2 linked regions of the Tribolium castaneum genome follow. The protein of the gene in region 2 purifies or fractionates together with the protein of the main gene of each other region. This does not show direct contact. Links are inferred from orthologs where the notes say so. Each region holds a gene or a part of one and is shown on either strand. Other genes may lie near its edges. The genes, in order: tether containing UBX domain for GLUT4 and Npl4.

Region 1 (8,857 bases), on a different chromosome or scaffold from region 2:
TTTGACAAAACGAATAATTAAAAAAAATCAATCACTGCAAAATTACGCTCTAATTAGCTCATCATAGCAATTTATAAAAAACGCTGCATTTTTCATACTGTGTTACTCATCAGCATCACTTATCCTGTATCCAGATAGTGTTTTTAGGGATTTTAGTCTTACAAAGGAGTAATGAAACAACGTAAATATTATTTCAAAAATTTACTGTCTGTAAAAAAAGTTACAAAGTGTTTATGAAGACTAGCATCAATCGACATAAAAATATTAATTTAACGAAGCATAATATCCTAAAGTATTAAATATATTCTTTTAATTTTCATAACAAGCAGCTAAATCTAAAATACATATGCGGCTGTACAGAACGAAAAAAAGAAATGTGTCATAGTTGCAAAAACAACGTAACGTTAACACAAAATATTTTTCATATTTCTGAGGTAATATTAAGCATGTAATCAAATCGTTCGTGTTCTGTACAGCTTAACGTGTGAATCTCGTACACTGTATACATCAATAGTGAAAAGACAATGGCAGTAAACCTCCTTATTGGCACGCGCTACAAAAATTAACAGTAAATCAATAAATCGCGCTTAAATAATCATCTCAATCATCGTTATTACTGACATCCAAGTGCACCCCCATCGGCCCTAACATATTACTCGACGGTCCCGCCTCCCCCAACTGCGACTTATAACTCTCCAGAATATTCTTCAACGCATTCACGTCAATATCAACAGGTTTAAAACTCTCAATATCCTCAAACCCGTCCCCGTTCTTCTTCTCGAAACTTTCCCCGATTGTGGTCGCCGCCAGTTCCTTATCCATCTGTTCCATATACTCCTGCATTTTATTTTTAACCCCTTCGTACATCTCCTCATTCCCGGCAACATCGTCGGCGTAATCGCTCATATCAGACCCAGAATCCAAATCCCAACTGTCATCTTCCGGAATGACAAAATTCAGGATGTTCTGAACGGCGCAAGAAAACGCATTCGGATCAAAACTAACTCTATTATTAGCTGTTGTCTCGGTTTTTGTGCCACTTGCGAACGAAACTTTGGTGCGTTTTTTCACGCCTCTAGGGGGCCGAGTTGGGGAATTGTCCAGGTCTGGGTGCTCAACTCCGTCAATATCTGACACGTGGTTTAAGAACGAGGAGATTTTTTCAGTGAAAGAGGCGGCGTCTGAGTTGTTGTTCACTGTAACGAATTTCTTTTGCCCGTATTTTTCTTCTAACATTTTATCCAACTCTTCCGGGCTGACGTTAAGCCACGAATCGTCATCGTCAGGCAAATTACTTTCCTCCTTCAATTCATCGATCTTAAAATCCAAATTTTTGATCAACTGGACAATTTCTTGCCCAATGGCTGGAGAATAGTGCATAGAGTCTCGGTGATTGATGTAGTACTCTTTCGCTTTGTTTAATAAATCGTTGTATTCTCTTGAATGCTCCAACAACCCCCGAAAATAATTTTTCTCTTTCAGTTTCTCAAAATAATTAACCCACCCTTTATCCTGTTCAATGTCCTGGCTTGGTTTGGCTTGCGCGGCTAAAATCTCAAACCCACAGGCGATTTTAACGCCTAAATTCTGCGCTTTAAACTGTGGGCTGTCGCTTTTAGGCAAGTTCCAGCCGGTTCTGCGATCCGGAACGTATTTACTGTGAGTTAGCATTGCGTATAAACATTTAGTAAATGTCACTCTGGCATTTACGCGGTTTTCGGGCGGAAAATATTTCATGGCTTTGCAGGTTTTGGCGTCAACTGGGTCTCGATTACAAAAGACTTGGACGGCGGGGGCTATAAGCCCGGGTTTGTGGCGCAAAATTGCAGCGACACCTACTGGTAGGTAGGCAGTGGCATGGTGAAGACTGGACTGGATTTTGTCAGGGTAGTCTTTTAATTTGTTGATTATACAGTTTTGGATGTCTGATGAGGCTAAAGTGTCGATCGGATTGTTTTGGATTGTTGAGACGGCCTCATTGACCGCCATTTGGGCCATTTCTGGGAGGTGATCCGAGGTGTCTAGAGGGATGATATGAATGTTGCCTTGGTAAATGTATACCTGGAGAAAAACCAGATCCAAGTCAGTTTTGCTTCAGTTATTACAGAAATGTATAAATAATTATAAATGCTTAACTAATAAATTATTACTTAAGTGAATTTTAATGTAGAAGTACTATCTTATAGAGCTGCAATTTTGTTGCAATTTTTTCACATGTTGGTACAGCTTCGTTCATTGACTTGTGTTGCATTCGTTAAATTATTTTTTTGATGGTAACATTTTAAGCCTTCTTTTTCACATCTGAATGCTAGATTATAAACACTATTTTAAAACACTCTTACCATAGCAACGTTTTTTAATTAAAATTTCCAACAAAAAAATCAATTATCACTTTATTCTAATTTGAATTAGAAAAAAGACAAGCACAGATAATGAGAAACCTTACCCTATTTTCGCAGTTGTTAGGGTCTGCCCATAAAGGTAAGTAATCAGCTGCTTCAATTAAAATAAATTCGCCATCAGCGTCGTGCACACGAGCTATTAAACCATCAATTTCCTTAGTTAGGAGACGTAAAAGGAACACAATAAACCACTCGTCCTCTATATTGTCTCCAAAATGAGTTACGCCATATAAATGTGGTGGTAAATACTCTGCAAAACAATTGATCTCGAATTAGGTGATTCAAAAAATTGTTACATTGTGATTTATACAGATTTACTTTAAACAAAGCATTTGCTGGTTTATAACCTCAAAAAATGTAAAAGCACTTTTTTAATGTGAAGTCATAAAATACGACCATTACCTGTTTTTTCACTATCATGAATCAGTGAATTACTAATCCACGTTCTCACAGTTAATTTAAATTCGTCTTTATGCCATAAATACTCATCGGTGTACCTTTTTACGATTTTTTCACACTGATTTAAAACTCTGGTTAACGCAAGTTCTTGTTCTTTGTCGTCCTGGGAATCAATAGGTGGAAAAAGATGATATTCAACAAAATCATCTTCACGAACGGACTCAAGAACGTTAACTTTACTTGCCATTGTTGTTTTAAAAGTAATCAATTAAAAAATTTGAATGACATTTGACACACCATTGGTGCCAATAAAACAAAACTCCCCAAACTATTCAAAAACACCCGCTCCTCTCACCAAAATAAAACAAAATTAGATGCTGAAGTGCTTTTATTTAATATAAGTACCAACTCATATAAACTTAACACTAATAAATCACTTTGATGGTCTAAACCACTTAGGGACTTTTTCCGTTGATTTTATTACTTTCCTCTCGTAACTGGTTGGTTGTGTACTTGGCCCAGCAGCATTTGCTTCAGTCAGTGTATCCATAGACTCATCCTGGCCCATTTCTTCACTCGGAGATTCGGGTCTTGTTCCCTTTTGCCGCAACTGTGACGCCGCTAAACTTGCTTTTGAGTTTGTTGTAAATTTATCCCTCAATTCCGCCTTCAAGCACACAGAACTCCCATCACCATTTGCTCCTAAATGCAACAAAGCCCCCGGCACGCAACCAATTTCCACTAGTTTTGATTCGTCCGAGAGAACATTTTTAGGCGGCGTTGTATCTGTAACAATATTTAAACATGTGATCAAAGTAGTTTCTGACTAGAGTCAAAGGTCACTTGACTGAAGTAGAACAATACTTACAAAGATGAAAATCACTGTTTGGATCTTCTAGGAAAGAAGTGACGAAATCTTTAATATCTTTAACAGTTTCGCTGGGCTTGAAGCTCCCTTGAAGGATGGACCTGTCTGGGAACTGGACGCGTATTACTGACTGTTTATATTTACGCAGTTGGCGTAATTGCTTCTTTGATTCTTCTAAATTGCGCATTGCAGAGGTCATGAGATTAGCGTTGTCCATTTCGTTTCGCTTTCTTCTAATATCGCCCAGAATTTTCTTAGCATCATCAATTGTGAGCTCAAAAAAATCGTCTGGTAGGTCTTCAGCTGGTAAAGAACGCGCCGATTCGAGAGAAAATAACATTGCCTTGCGCTCGCCCAACTGAAAATTTCAAATACAAAATAAAATAATAAAAATAAAATGCTACATACAAAAACAAAATCGTCCTCAAGCTGACTAGATGATGGGTTGGTAACTGGCTCTTTTGGGTAATTTGCGATGTTTTCTGGCAAATCAACATCCATTTTTTCGTCGTCAGACTCAACTTTGGGTTTAGTTTTAGGCGAATGCGTTTCCGTTTCCGGAGTTTTGGAAGGGCTGCTCAATTTTCGTTTTTCCCGTGCTAGTTTCAATAAATCAACCTCAGTTTTCTTTTGTAAAGGCTTCACATCGGTAGTTTTAGAATATTCAGCTTCAGTCTTTAAAGTGCGATGAAAGGGCTTCTCCTCTACCGGTTTCGTAGGCAGAGGAGCAGAGACATTTGCTTGGACTTTTAGTTCGTCAGGCCTTCGATACATTAACCGCATCATCGCCCTACCACCTCTTAGGCCCAAGCTTCGCAAAGTGGCTTTTTGCAAATTGTCGCCGTAAATTTCATTTCGCATATAAACCAAAACAGGATTGTCATCAGGTTTAATACTGGGGCACAATTTAGTTAGTACACTCCATAAAGTGTCATCTGGTTGGAAGTTGCCCATGACTCGGTCGCCACTTTCAGAATTTATGGCTAGAATTACTTCCGAGTCCGTGCGTGCTTTGGTTGCTGTTGCTAATTCTAACTGAGCGTTATTTGGCAAACCAGAAAAACGGAACGAAATAGTTGTGTCAAGCACTTTGTTGTGGTGCTTAATATCGTAATCCTCCGGCTTGAAACCCTGTTTGCGACAAACTTCTTCAATAATCTGAAAAGTAGGTGTTTTTTTTGGGGTTAGTTTTAATATTTTTTGTACCTGCATTATGGTCGTGTTTGCGGTACATTTGACGGTCTGTCGACGGCCGTTTGGGGCCAAGACTGAAACGGTGCTACACGACATTTTGAATAAGTGATTATTTTTATACAATTCTTAAGCAATGTTGATGATTTTTCATTTTGAAGTGACAGTTAACCTAACAATTTAAACGTCATCTCACCAGTGACAATTCAGTTTTGTTTCATCAAAATTAAAATGTAAAATTATTACTGCGATTTATATTGATGTTTTAGTTTACGCATTATTAAGATAATTGTTTATTTTAACTAACCAATATCTTAAGTACTAGAATATACAACATCTCATAATAGCTATTCTGAAACAATTTCAAAAGCTTTTTATCGTTTACAACAATAATCATAAACAGTACAGAAAATCATCATTTTACTTTATTATTATTTAAATTATTTTATTAATTTATTTTACTTGCGCAGAGTCTATGGATCCACAACAACCAAATTCTGATGATGAAGATTTTCTCAATGTATCTGCCGGTAGCAACGTAAGTGAAATTATGCCCCTATAAACCATATTCTATTTGTTAATTCACAAATATTATTGTTCATTTACTTTTTTTATTGATAGCCACCGTCTGGAAAACCAGATAAGATGCTCGGCACATCGGACTTTATTAGTCTTCTGGGGACGAGGGATGAGTCGTATTACATCGATAAAACCACTCTGTTAGAAGTTTTCCTTAAATGCGGTCGTAGCCGAGTGCTGCTGACAGCTCCACGCCGTTTCGGAAAGACTATAAATCTCTTGATGCTTAAGACTTGTTTTGAGTTGCAAGTACCACCAGAAGAATATAAGATGCTATCAGAAGATGAATTCCAAATAAAGGTAAAAGAGACAGCTAATTACAAGCTGTTTGAAGAGCTTCAGTTGGAAATAACTAAGAATCCAGATTTGATGAACAAACATTTTGGAAAATATCCTACATTACACATTTCATTCAAATGTGACACGCCAATCGCAAGTTTTTCTGATGGAGTTGCATTCTGTTGTCGGATTTTAAGTAAAGCCTTCAGGAGACATAATTATTTAATATCGGAAAAAGCATTAAGTCAATGGGACAAAAATATATATGCCAAATGGTTGAACCCCGCCGACTGGGATGAAAGGAAAGCAATGGATATAAATTTGATATCTGACGGTTTGCGAACTTTAGTCCGTTATGTCTTTGAGAGCTTTAACAAAAAAGTAGTACTACTTATCGACGAGTACGATTCGGTTATCATGCAAGCAATATTGCGTATAAAGGCAAAAGATGAATTAACGAAGGTCATACAGTTTTGTTTAGGTTTAATCCAAGCTGCTGTGAAAAATGACATTGAGCAACATGTAGAATATGCATTTATCACCGGAATTTCCCATATTTCCGGAATGGGTCTTTCTGGTTCAAACATAAAGCCATTCAGATTTCTGGAAAATCACTCTTTTGTTCCTTACTATGGCTTGACAGTTATGGAAATTCGGAATTTGTTAAGGAAGACATATCAATTTGATGATCAGCGAATTGCTGAAACAGAAAAAAAATTCAACGGTTATTCTACAGTTCGTGGAGTAAAGATATACAACATCTGGTCTGTGCTAGAATATGCTAGCAGAACTCAAGAGGATGATTTTATATATGAATGGCAAGACACCAGGTATATTGTAGGTCTCGAAAAAGCTTTTAGATTCCCTACAATTATGAAAATAATTCAAACAGAACTACTGTTGTATAAACCTATAGAGATTAAAAAATATGAAACCTTGGTTGTAGAGGATATCCTGCAGTTGGTAGAGATAATTGGAAATGTTGACCCTCAGAACGTCGAATTTCCACGTTGTGACTTTTTTTTCTCATTTCTTGTTGAGCAAGGCTATTTGTCATTTGTAGCTAACAAGCCTGGGCTGCTCGTAATACCCAACGAACAGATTAAAGAGAAAATCGAGGGAAAGATAACAGACTCTAAAATTAAAGTATTTGATAGGAATAGTATTCCTACTGAGGACTGCAGAGAATTCTTTCTGAAAATATCTGAGAGGGATTGTGATTATGATGACTTCAAAAAATTTCATACGAGTCTTGAAGATGCTTTACAAAACTATGCAGCAAAATGGATTAAAAAGAACGAAGAGAACATCCGTCGTACAATAAAAATTTTGATCAGTAATATGGGATTTAAGGACAGTGCTGAACTCAACTTTAATTTCACAGAAAATGGGGTAAAACATAGCAGAAGTATCGATTGTGGCATTATTAAAGATAGTTTCTTAATGCTTATCGAAACGAAGTATAAGGAGAGCAACAAAAAAGCAATGCTTGACATGAGGGACAGGAATTACTTAAAAGTACTTGAAGATAAAGATGTAATCAGGAATACCATAACACGTTTTGTTCTAATGGGGATAAACATGGATGAGAATGGACAAGTGTCCATCAGTTACTTACAGAATAACCACAACTTTGATGCTATGACATTAATTCCTTAGGTATTTAGTAGTATTTCATTCTAGGTCTAGTTATGATATGTCAGATGAGTTTTAGTTTTTTTCATTGTTTATTCCGGTAATTTGTTCTTTGCTGCATATGTTGATGAAAAATATATAATTTTGATGCATGATATACTTTTTTTATTTATTTAAAATTGTCTCTTTTTCTAAATTACTCGTAAACTTTGAAATGTTTCCAGACTTTATCAATTAATTTTCGGGTCGGGTATTCGAACCCGGATCAGGGTGACAATTTTTCTATGAAAAAAAGTGTGGAAAAGGTAAGTGAAACAAGACGTAAACAAAAATAAGAGATTAAGAGAACACGTTGACGTATAAACGTAAAGCGGAGCATAAAACTGACAGAAATAAGAAAATAATGCGGCAAAATGTAAAAGTACGTAAAGGCGTAAATTGTAAACGTACTTTTTGTTTTGAGAGAAAAAGAGATGAAGGTAAGGGTGAAACATAACTTCAAACTTTACCGTTGAATCCTTTGATAACTTTTTTCTTAAACGATGATATTTAAGTTATGTCTAAAAAATTTTAGTTAACTGAGTTTGTTTAGGAAAGTCCCGAAAAACATTGTTAATAAAAAAATTAAAAAAAAATCCGGTAGGATTTGCGCACGTCCACTATTTTTGACTAGAAAATACACAAATAAACCAAGTATCTATTTTACTATCCACGTTATCTATGAAATGTAATGTTGGTTGCTTCAAAAATTTTTTCAGGCTGATTATTACTCGGGTATTTAAGGATTGTTCTAATTTGTCCAGCAAGGACTACGTGGAGGTTTATAACATTTTTGCCTGGAAAAAAGGAAATAAGGATGAGAAATAGGATTCCAACATGTTCTTCGGTGAACATTGAAGGTCTCTCCCTAATTTAGTTTTTTTGTCATCATTGTTTTTTTTGTTGGTAACCCAATATTTTTGACATTTGAGAGCACAGTTTGGACGCGTTGTTTGTATTCGATTGTAAAATTCTAATTTATTTATCCTTTATTTCGATCAACATGGACACAGCTATAAAAGAAATTGAAGAAAAAGAAGCTAGTCCTTCTGAATCTGTTGAAACGGAGGAATTGGACATCGAGAGCGAACCTTTCTTTCAGGATATTTACATGCTGACCGAACACGGCGTCCCTCTTCCAGATATCGAAGAAATGCGAAAAATTGGCATAAACACAGTCAAGGGCCTCCAAATGACCACAACCGACAAACTTTTGGCTTTGAAGAGCTTTAATCCGAGTAAAGTAAGCAAAATTCAGGAAATTTGCGGAAATATCTCTTTCAGCAATCGCTTCATGACCGCCTTTGAAGTAAGTGAGGCATGCAAGCAAGTTTTTAAAATAAGTACGGGAAGCGCAAATTTGGAGTAATTTCGCATATTGAAACTAAATCCGAGTTAAATTTCAAAATTTTTAGTAAATTGCTGGGCGGGGGTGTAGAGTCGATGTCTATAACTCAAGTTTTTG
Region 2 (9,464 bases):
TTGGTCAAATCCGCATCCCGCTATCGTCTTTTGTTTTCGTAAACAAAAGTTGATATTTTAGCGAAATCTTCAAAAATTCATTTCTTCCTTATTGTAAAAGATACACACTTGAAACACAGACATTATAAAGGCACTTTTTTACGGAGAATTTAGTAATGTTATCACCGATTTTTTCTAATTATTCGTTTAGCTGTAATAACATAAAGTTGTATTTTTTTAGTTGGCTATGACATTTTTGAAAAGTTTATTTTTTTCTGATTTCATATGCCTATTTGTGTAATACATTATTTTTAAATTATTAAAAATAACCAAAATATTCCGCTTTTTCTATAGTAGGCCACAAAAAAATTTTGGATTTTTAATTCAAACTATGAAAAATGTATTACTCAAAAAGTATTTATAATTTTATGATTTTTTAAACACTAATTAATTCAAAAACAACATAATAAATAATTGTTAGATCAAATTTTTGCGATTAATAAAAATATTTGTTTTTAGATTTAAAATGGCAAGTTTACATTGTCATTCCATTTTCTAATTAAACATGAAATGTTGGAAAAAAAGAAAAAATTTATTAATTGTATGATTTCTTATAAATAAAATTTTATTTTACAAAAAAATATCAATCTAAACACCAAAATCAAATCCCATCTGCGGTAAAAAAATACTTAACATTATAAACGTCACCTCCATTCCACTTTATTAAATCATAAAAAAGTGTCATCAAATAGTTAGTGACGCATCGTTTTCAATTTTCAGCACATTTTTTATGTAATTAAAATCGTATATTTGTTCAATTGAAAATAAATTTAACAGCTTATTTTGATAATTTCATATTTTTTCCTTTAATAACCGTTAACAAAATTTCTAGATTATTCACACCTTTTATGTGAAATAATTTTTCCATGGCCAACTACTTTAAAATATTTTAAATTTATTTTTATCAAAAGTTTTTGAGAAATGTAGAAGTGTTTAGAAAATATTTTCAAGTTGAGAAAATAATTATTATAAAGGAGTATGGTGAGAAGGATTTATACAAGAATCTGGAGATTATAAAATAAACTACAAACGGTTTTAAAAAAGAATCAGAGAAAAATCGTAAGAAAACACTAAAAGAAAGGAAAGAGTATATCAGAAACAACGCTAAAGAGAAATTCGAAATGAAACTATAACAAAACTTTGAAAACAAATAGAGTAGAATTTAAAAGAAAATTTAGAAAATATAGAAAGAGTTTATTAAAAATTTTGAGGATATTTTTTTAAAGAACAATTTGATGAAAAATTAATGAAGAATCGTAAGATTTCTTTCCAAAACAATCTAAAAAATCGACCTAACAAATCATTAGAACAGAATCAGAGAAGAAACTTGGCAAAAAACAAGAGAAAAATACAGAAACACTAAAAAGTAATCTGGATAAATTCTAAAAAAAACTATAACAATTTTTTTAAGAGCAGAGTAGAATCAGATATTCGTTACATAAAAAAAGAATAATTAATCAATACAATTTATAGATTATATTACATATTTACAATTTTAAAAAGAAATCACAGTTAGAAACAATGAACTAATCACAGTATAAAATAATTTTGGGCGTAGATATACTAAGAACCCGGAGAAATAAACTCATAAAGATTTAAAGATTTTAAAGATTTTTTTTTAAATGATGCGATTCTTAATTGTTTTTATTTATTTTGTTTGGTAGAGCATTGAAAGCTTTGATAGCATGATAATTGGGCCCTTTTTCATAAAAACTAGTTTTATTTATCAACATTTATTTAAAAGAACTTAGGGCGTTTTTTTTTGTAAACATAGTCAAATGATAAACATATAAAAAGGACGGAGTCATAATATTAATTTTTTTAAAATAAGTTTTGCAAGAGCTGCAAAAAGCAACTTAGAATGTTCTACAAAATAGAAGTGTTTATAAAATTTGATTCACTGTTCATCGTTTGTTGTTATTTTTATTTATGACAAGGTACAGTTTATGTTAATTCTTTTAAATATTTTGTTAATACTATTATTTATTAATGTATTAATAAGTGTTTATGAAATAAAGGAAAAGTCCAGATTTTCGATTTACAGACGGCTTTAGAAGAGAATGAATCAGAGAATAATTTTAAGAAAAATCAATATTGAAGAGAAAATAGATAAAATAAGATAATAGATGGAAAAATTCTAAACGAAACTATGGAAAGTGTTTATAAGACACAAAATGATATCTAAAAAAAATATGTGAATATATACTATTATTAAAAATCCACCGATAAAATGTAGAAATGTTTATACAGGGTGTCTCAAAAACTCAAGATTGGGAAATTCCGGGTTCAGAACATTGTAGAGAATTGCTTCAGTAGTCCAAATATATAACAAAAATAAAGATTCGGGGCTTGCCCACAAAGATACATTGGTTTGAAGACCACACTTAGAACTGTGTTTTCTTCAAATGCAGGCTAAAAGTTTCACTGTTTATTCTTATTTATGGTGAAGATGATTGTGAAGAATAGTAATGTAAAACAATTTCTCAATAAAATAGTTTCATTTTGGAGTAAAAAAATATTAAATTTTTGTAAAAAATAAAGAATAATCTGGAAAAATTCTAAACGAAACGAAGAATTTTGAAAAGACGTAGAGTGGAATCTGAAAGAGAACTCGAAGAATGTAGAAGTATTTATTAAAGAATTTTGAATAGAACAGAAAATAAATATAAGGAAGAATCTGATGGACAATTTATAAGAGAATTTAAAGATTCAGATTTGAGACCTGAACGGCTTTCGAAAAAAAATCAAAGAAGAATCTTAAGAATTAAAGATGGAATTATAAAATTATCTAAAGATTCCAGAAACAATGCTAATGAATAATCTAAAAAAACTGTAAACGAAACTATAGACGAATTGTGATAAGGCAGACCATGTAATCTACAAAAGAATTCGAAGAATTTAAAAAAAAATGTAGCTGTGTTTATACATTAATTCTGAGTAGAGTCTAGAAAATAATTGTAAATACGCATCTGAAGAAAAATTTGAACAAATTCTAAACGAAACTATCGAAAAATTCTTAAAATCACGAAGAATGGAATATAAAAAATAATTTGAGGAATTTAGAAGTATTTATTAAATAAGAATCTGGTAAAGAACCTAAAGATTTAAGATATGAACGGCTTTAGAAAAGAATCAGAGAACAATCTTGAGAAAAATTAAAAGAAGAGTATAGGAATAATACTAAAGAACAATAATAAGAATTTTAAATGAACCTAAAAATGGGAATGTAGAAGTGTTTCTACAATAATTTTGAGTACAGTCTACAAAATAATTCTAGAGAAGAATCTAGACAAAAAAATCTAAAAATGGTTTCTTAAAATTATCTTTAGAAGAGTCTAGATCCCAAATCTACAGACGGCTTAAGAAAAGGATTATAAAAAAATCGAGAGAGAGAGAGAGAAGTACAGAAAAATGCTAAAGAATGTCTGGAAAGATTCTAAAAACATGGAATATCCAAGATTTTTGGAAAAATACAAAGGAGAATTTTGAAAATATTATTGTCTTCATATTATTATTTACGTATTTTCTGTTATTAATGTTTAGTGCAATAAACAAATGTATCAACCTGTTTGTCATTTTACTTTCTCATGTTTTAATATCGATTCTTATTACTTTAAACGTGGAGTATTACGGTGTTTTTCTCATGACATGGTTGGCAACACTGATTCCCAACAATTACTTGAACTGACTCACAATTTGGGGTCCTGCTTCCTTTCGATCTTGCCGTCAAGTTTATACAACTGGAGGTCCACTGGGTCCTCCTTAACCGTTTGCTTAAAGTTGAGGCTAACACTGCTGCTTGGTCGCGAATTGCTCACTCCGGAGCTTGTAGACGGGGTCGGTTCCCTCGGGACAGGCTCACCCGACGGCGTGTTGTTCCCCTGCAGCCCCCGTATTACGCAAACCCGATTTGGGGCCGATCTACTCACCGTGGGGAACAAGACAGCCCCGTTTAGGGGGCACAGATAGATCATGTCGCCGTGGCGGAGGCCCAGGCCAGCCACAGTCCGCGATTTGCTGCTGGGGATCTCATTTTTCTGGTTCCGTTCTTTGTACAAAGCGAACGCAAAACTGCTCAAGTCAAAAGAGTCGTGGACGCGCTCGAATAACTTGCACGTGGAGTCCGAAGCGCTGACTTCGATCCGCTTTGTGCCTTCGGGGGACTGCACCCTCAATAGCTAAAAAATAAAAAACGGCTTTGTCACTGCTTCCAGTTTTTGAATTTTGAGGTTATGTCATCGGGGTGCAAAAAATACAGAGTGGGGGCGGTAACATGATTCGGGGTGAAAAACTTGTAATTGTAAGGGGCTTACTATTGCTTTATCTTTGGACATTGTAAAAAATTCATGTATATTTTTATAAGCTTAGTCAGTACTATTTCAAGTCGAATTGTCAACCGGCACGAATGCCAACCTCGACGAGCCGAAGTCACCAAACCACCGGTTTGATTTTTGAAAAATTGGCAAAATTTTCATTTTTCAAGCATTCGCGAAAAATTCTATAAATAATCCGATTTGTTTGGTTGCGCAGTTAGTTTTGCGTGTCAATATTTTTAGTTTGTCCGATTTTCAAACTTTAAGCTCATTATAATTCATTTAAGAGCCTTGGACGAAAATTCCTGATTCTAAATATAAAATAACCGAGGAATTCGTCACAACTGCATAAACCCACAGGTGAAACTGCGATTATACTCAAACCGAGCCTGCAGCGCGTTTCGCAACATAATTAATTTGTGCGTGGTTTTAATCAATTGTAGTCAAAATCAGTTCGCTAGTTTTTGAAAAAAATCCAGTTAAAAAAATACCCAAATTTGGTGATAAACCGGAACCCGGAGAACCCGGAGTCACCTGTCAAATCGTCGAAGATTCCAGATCTCTGTGTCTGTGTCATTATAAAACGGTTCAAATCTTGCGATTAGTTAGTGAGTTAGCAGAATTATTGCGGTAAGTTTCGAACTAATTTTTATTTATTAATCAAATCAAAATTTAAAAAATCACTCAAAAACTGTCAAAACGTCAAAGTGACAGCTCATTGGCAGCAAGTTTTTGAAATTATTTTCACAAATTCCAGCCAAAATGACCTCAAACAAGGTGGAGTTGTACATTTACGACCTGTCCAAAGGGATGGCAGCGGCCCTTTCGCCTATGCTCATAAGTGAGTAGAAAATTTGAGGTTAAGTTTCCCTCCAAAAATCTTTTCCAGACAAAAAAATCGACGGAATTTGGCACACAGCGATTGTCGTTTACGGTCGCGAGTATTTTTTCGGCTCACATGGCATTTCCAGTTGTAATCCGGTAAGAGTTGGGGAAAATTGTGTGGGGTCATGTAATCCACTTTATTTGTTTTTGCGTTATAAATACAATGACGAGACGGATTTAGAAGCGGTCTCTGAGTTGGGTTACATACACAGAGGGCACTGTCTAACTGTATCATGTCTAAATCTAAAATTGGAATTGGGCTATTATTAAATAGAGAAACAGTACTTGGCTACCAGTGAACCGGCTTTCCCTCGCATTAGTCTTATTAGTGCATTTAATTCTCTTAGATCTTTGTAAGTTATTTGTGGTGGTGCATGTGTTTATGCAACGAAACGACGCGGAAGTGTATTTCTGTTTGCGTTTTTGCCACTAAATCGAATTCCAGCGGCGTGAGGTGGCCAACAAAAATTTTATTTCACTGATTTGCCACAAAAAATAGTTAATTTCGTAAAGTGCTACGCATTATTATGATTTCATTAGCGGTGTGGGTGGTAACGCATGTGTGATTTATGAAAACGTTATTTGGCAAAAACAATTTTATTTGGAGAGTTTCGCATGACCAAGAATGGCTTTTGGCGGTGTTTAATTGTCTTTAAGCTTGGCATTTCGAGCCAGACGCGTTGATTGATTCGATAAATCTATTTAAATGTCGCTTTAAAAATAAAAAATTTGCCCTATTTCTAGCGACGCCGTCTCGTAATTGTAATTAAAGAGGCGTGTTTTTTAGACGTAATTAATATTTCCTAACTGATTAAGGCAAAATCGCATGATTAAAAGTTATTTTCCGAAAAAAATCACAGACTGTTTCGGGTTTATCTTAGTCGGTGTATTGTTGGTTGCCTACACTTAGACAATGCAAAATACAGTAGAACCTCGGTTACATTACGCCATATCTACGGTGGACTATAAGTTAGGAGACGAAACGAAAGTTCTAAACCCAAAAAATAGTACGCAGAGTAAAAATGAGGGCGCTTTGAGCGTTTCAGCGCCAATTCGTTTTAAATTAATTTATATCCAACCAATTCACTAATTACTTGGAAAAAATGCAGAAGTGTTGAGCTTTGCACTTGCACATACTGGGGAACACTAACAACAAAAATTTTCATAAGAAACATGAGAAAAAAATTATTTAAAATTAAAAATTTGCGCTTTGTTCCGTATTTTTCGAGACGCTGCGAATATGGTTAAAGATACATACAAGAAAAATTTAAGATAGAAATTTGTAGAGAATTTAATTTTCTTTAAGTCCGCGATACTATATTTATCTCTTCAAAGGTTTGGGTATAAATTAATTTTCTAATACTTGACCACCGGCAGAATGAAGAAAATGCGTCGCGACTTTGGGGCCTAAATGGTTGAAGATAGGGATACGGTCTTCCGGACTTTTTTGTAGGGAATTTAATTCTCTACAACTTTTTCCTTAACATTTTTCTTGTGTCTGTAACCGTATTCGCAGCGTTTTGAAAAAAATGGGACAGAGTGCAAATTGGTAAAAGTTTTTAAAATGTAGTTTACCAACAATTTTTATGTTTGATTATTGAGAATTTAATGCTCTATCTGCCTGTATATTTTTTATACAAATACAATATTTTTTTCTGAAAACTCATGGTAATGGAACAACTGCGCTCTCTGGCGACATTAAGGGAACTATGGAGGGCGGGAACGTTTTATTTGTACCTCGTTTCGTATCCTAACCTTTAGACATCCGTAGCCGTGTCTTATTCAAAAATTGGCGCTAATTTTTGAATAATTGACAGGGTACGACCGCTTTGGGGCAGCCCTTGCGCGTGTTAACTCTTGGCGAGACCCAGGTCCCTTATTCAGTATTCATCGATTACATAAACGGTCTCAGCGAATCAACTTGGGCGTAAGCATCTCAAAAAATTGAAAAAAACACGCGCTAAAAGCGTCATATTTAGGGGCCCAACTTACGATCTTTTTCACCACAACTGCAACAACTTCTCGGAGGAAATCGCCCAGTTTTTGTGCGGTTGTAGCATCCCGAAATATATCCTCGATTTACCAAACGAGGTTCTTAGTTCGTCTCTAGGACCAGCGATACCGCTTTTGGTGTCACAGTTGGAGAAAAGTGCAAGACCTATAGCCGAAGAACAGGAAAGGGCGAGGGAGAATAGCCCCGATTTGGAACAGTTGAATTCACAAATTGAAGAAGTCAGGTCAGAGCAAAATAAAAGTGTGGGGGAGCATTGATGGAGAGCTTGGGTTTTAGTTAATTGCTTTGTGTGTTGTACGAAATTGGATAAAATTAAATAAAGCAGTGTGGAAGTTTTTTCGTGTTGCTTTTGTCAGTAAATAATTTGGTTTTGTTGCTAACTAAAAAAATAGTATAATTCTATACACAGTGGCCAAGAATAAGTGTTTTAGTTGGCAATAGATTTGTCATGTTGTCATAACAACCGGTTGTAATTTATTTTTGCCAACTTCAACAATAATTCTTGGTTATTATATTTTTGTAATACACAATTGGCAAACACGTTGAAAATTGTTAAAAATAAATAAAAATTACAAAATTATTAAAGGTCCAGTTTGCAACTTTTGAAAATACATTAGTAACATTAGTCTTGTAAAAAAATATGAATAAATATGATTGTATGAATTGTTGAATCTTGAAACCTATTGTAAAAATACGAGTAAATTAATAAAACATTATAACCAAATTGTGAAATTTTTTACTGCATTTTAAAGAATCAAAAATCGCATTTTCGACTGATTTTTAAAATTCTATTGGAAATGAAATTTATTTAAATTTGGTTAACGGCTTATTGTTTAAAAATAATTGTATTGCGTAGTACACGTAAGTATTCAACTATTCATCTATGTATGTATCAGTGGCGGCTCGCTAGGTGAAGATTTAAAATTTATTTGTTAAAAAAAAACGCACTACATCACTGCAGACAGATAAGAAAACGTAAATTTCGATTCAGTTTAGTAATTTTTTCACAAAATTTTGCTTGGTTTTTGGCTTATTTTAGCGAATTAATGCTAATTTAATCAATTTTTGGGTGAAAATGCTCGAAAAGAGCAAGTAAGATGACGAAATTTTCGACTTAGGTTAATAATAAGTTTGTGTTATTGTGAATTTTTGACTAAGCATGTGCTTAAAAATTTGAAAAAGGCAACGATTTAGTCCGGCCTTATTTCTCAAAAAAATATTTTTCACTCATAAAATGAGCTAAATATCACCCATTTCATTAGACAAATTGTTTTTTGATTTAAAATAAATAAATAATAATTTTTGATGCAATCAGGTGATTTTTTGCCTTTTTCTGAACAAAGTTTCGCATAAAAAATGTGTTTTTCGGTGATAAAGAGAGCTAAATGATTATACACAGGCCAAAAGATGAACATCAGTGTAGTTTGGTCATTTTTGTCAAAATTTTGTATAATAATAGTGTATTTTTCACTCAAAAACTGAGGCAAAAAAGCGAAATAATAATAATAATAATAATAGTAATAATAATAATAATAATTTAATTTATTTCCAACGGTCTTATTAATCTAAAGTGGACAAATAACAATACAATATACCAAAAAAGAACAAAATTGAGACAATTAAATTATACAAAACATTATAAATTACGAAGAAAAATATTCTAGAAGCTTGTCCTTTAAAGTTTTAGTTTGGAAATTATTGAAGAAAATATTTAAATCTATTGCAATATTATTATATAATTTAAAAAGTGGAGAATTCAGATGATGAAAGGTATGAGGGGTGGACAAAAAATGTCATTTTGTCATTCTACCTTTATTTGTGGGCCTGTTGAATAATCTATAGTTGTTTTAAATGTGCGTTTTTGACTGAGATTGGCACTTTTTTTTTAATTAGTAAAATATGTTGGTAACTTTTTTGTTTAAAAATAAGATAAAAATTTTAACCTTTATTTTGAGTTTTTGTCTTATTCAAGTGTTCTAGCGAATTTATGCTAACTTAATGCATTTTTGGCTAAATAATGTGTCAAAACGCTCGAAAATGACAAAAAGATTAGTAACTTTTCTACATAAATTAGTAATAAAGTAATACTTTTGGGTTGCTATGGGAAAAGTGAATTTTCAACTAAACATGTGCTTAAGCTTTTGAAAAAGACAGAGAAACACAATGTGCTAAACAGATGATTTAAAAAAAAATAAGTAAGCTTTTAGTAACGA

What was found.
Region 1: the proteins of Npl4 (region 2) and tether containing UBX domain for GLUT4 purify together in Homo sapiens (affinity purification with mass spectrometry; 3 studies listed by BioGRID and IntAct, with this or other methods). This does not show direct contact. The link is inferred for Tribolium castaneum from reciprocal best matches to the Homo sapiens genes NPLOC4 and ASPSCR1.

What each region holds. Positions count from the first base shown.
Region 1 is NC_087394.1:35,465,173-35,474,029, forward strand, and holds tether containing UBX domain for GLUT4, read right to left. Parts: upstream 5,016-8,857; 5' UTR 4,960-5,015; coding exon 4,876-4,959; intron 4,835-4,875; exon of another isoform or gene 4,828-4,834; coding exon 4,078-4,827; intron 4,028-4,077; coding exon 3,670-4,027; intron 3,588-3,669; coding exon 3,235-3,587; 3' UTR 3,172-3,234; downstream 1-3,171. Other genes in the region: ecd (protein ecdysoneless), read right to left, coding at 601-2,061, 2,447-2,652, 2,805-3,048; uncharacterized protein LOC103312249, read left to right, coding at 5,336-5,398, 5,482-7,377; meiotic recombination protein DMC1/LIM15 homolog, read left to right, coding at 8,396-8,757, 8,808-8,857. UniProt on the Homo sapiens protein: Tethering protein that sequesters GLUT4-containing vesicles in the cytoplasm in the absence of insulin. Modulates the amount of GLUT4 that is available at the cell surface. Enhances VCP methylation catalyzed by VCPKMT.
Region 2 is NC_087399.1:8,832,860-8,842,323, reverse strand, and holds the start of Npl4 (nuclear protein localization protein 4 homolog), read right to left. Parts: upstream 4,486-9,464; 5' UTR 4,374-4,485; coding exon 4,353-4,373; intron 4,218-4,352; coding exon 3,969-4,217; intron 3,921-3,968; coding exon 3,733-3,920; intron 1-3,732. Other genes in the region: uncharacterized protein LOC659663, read left to right, coding at 5,115-5,193, 5,242-5,333, 7,055-7,164, 7,217-7,474. UniProt on the Homo sapiens protein: The ternary complex containing UFD1, VCP and NPLOC4 binds ubiquitinated proteins and is necessary for the export of misfolded proteins from the ER to the cytoplasm, where they are degraded by the proteasome.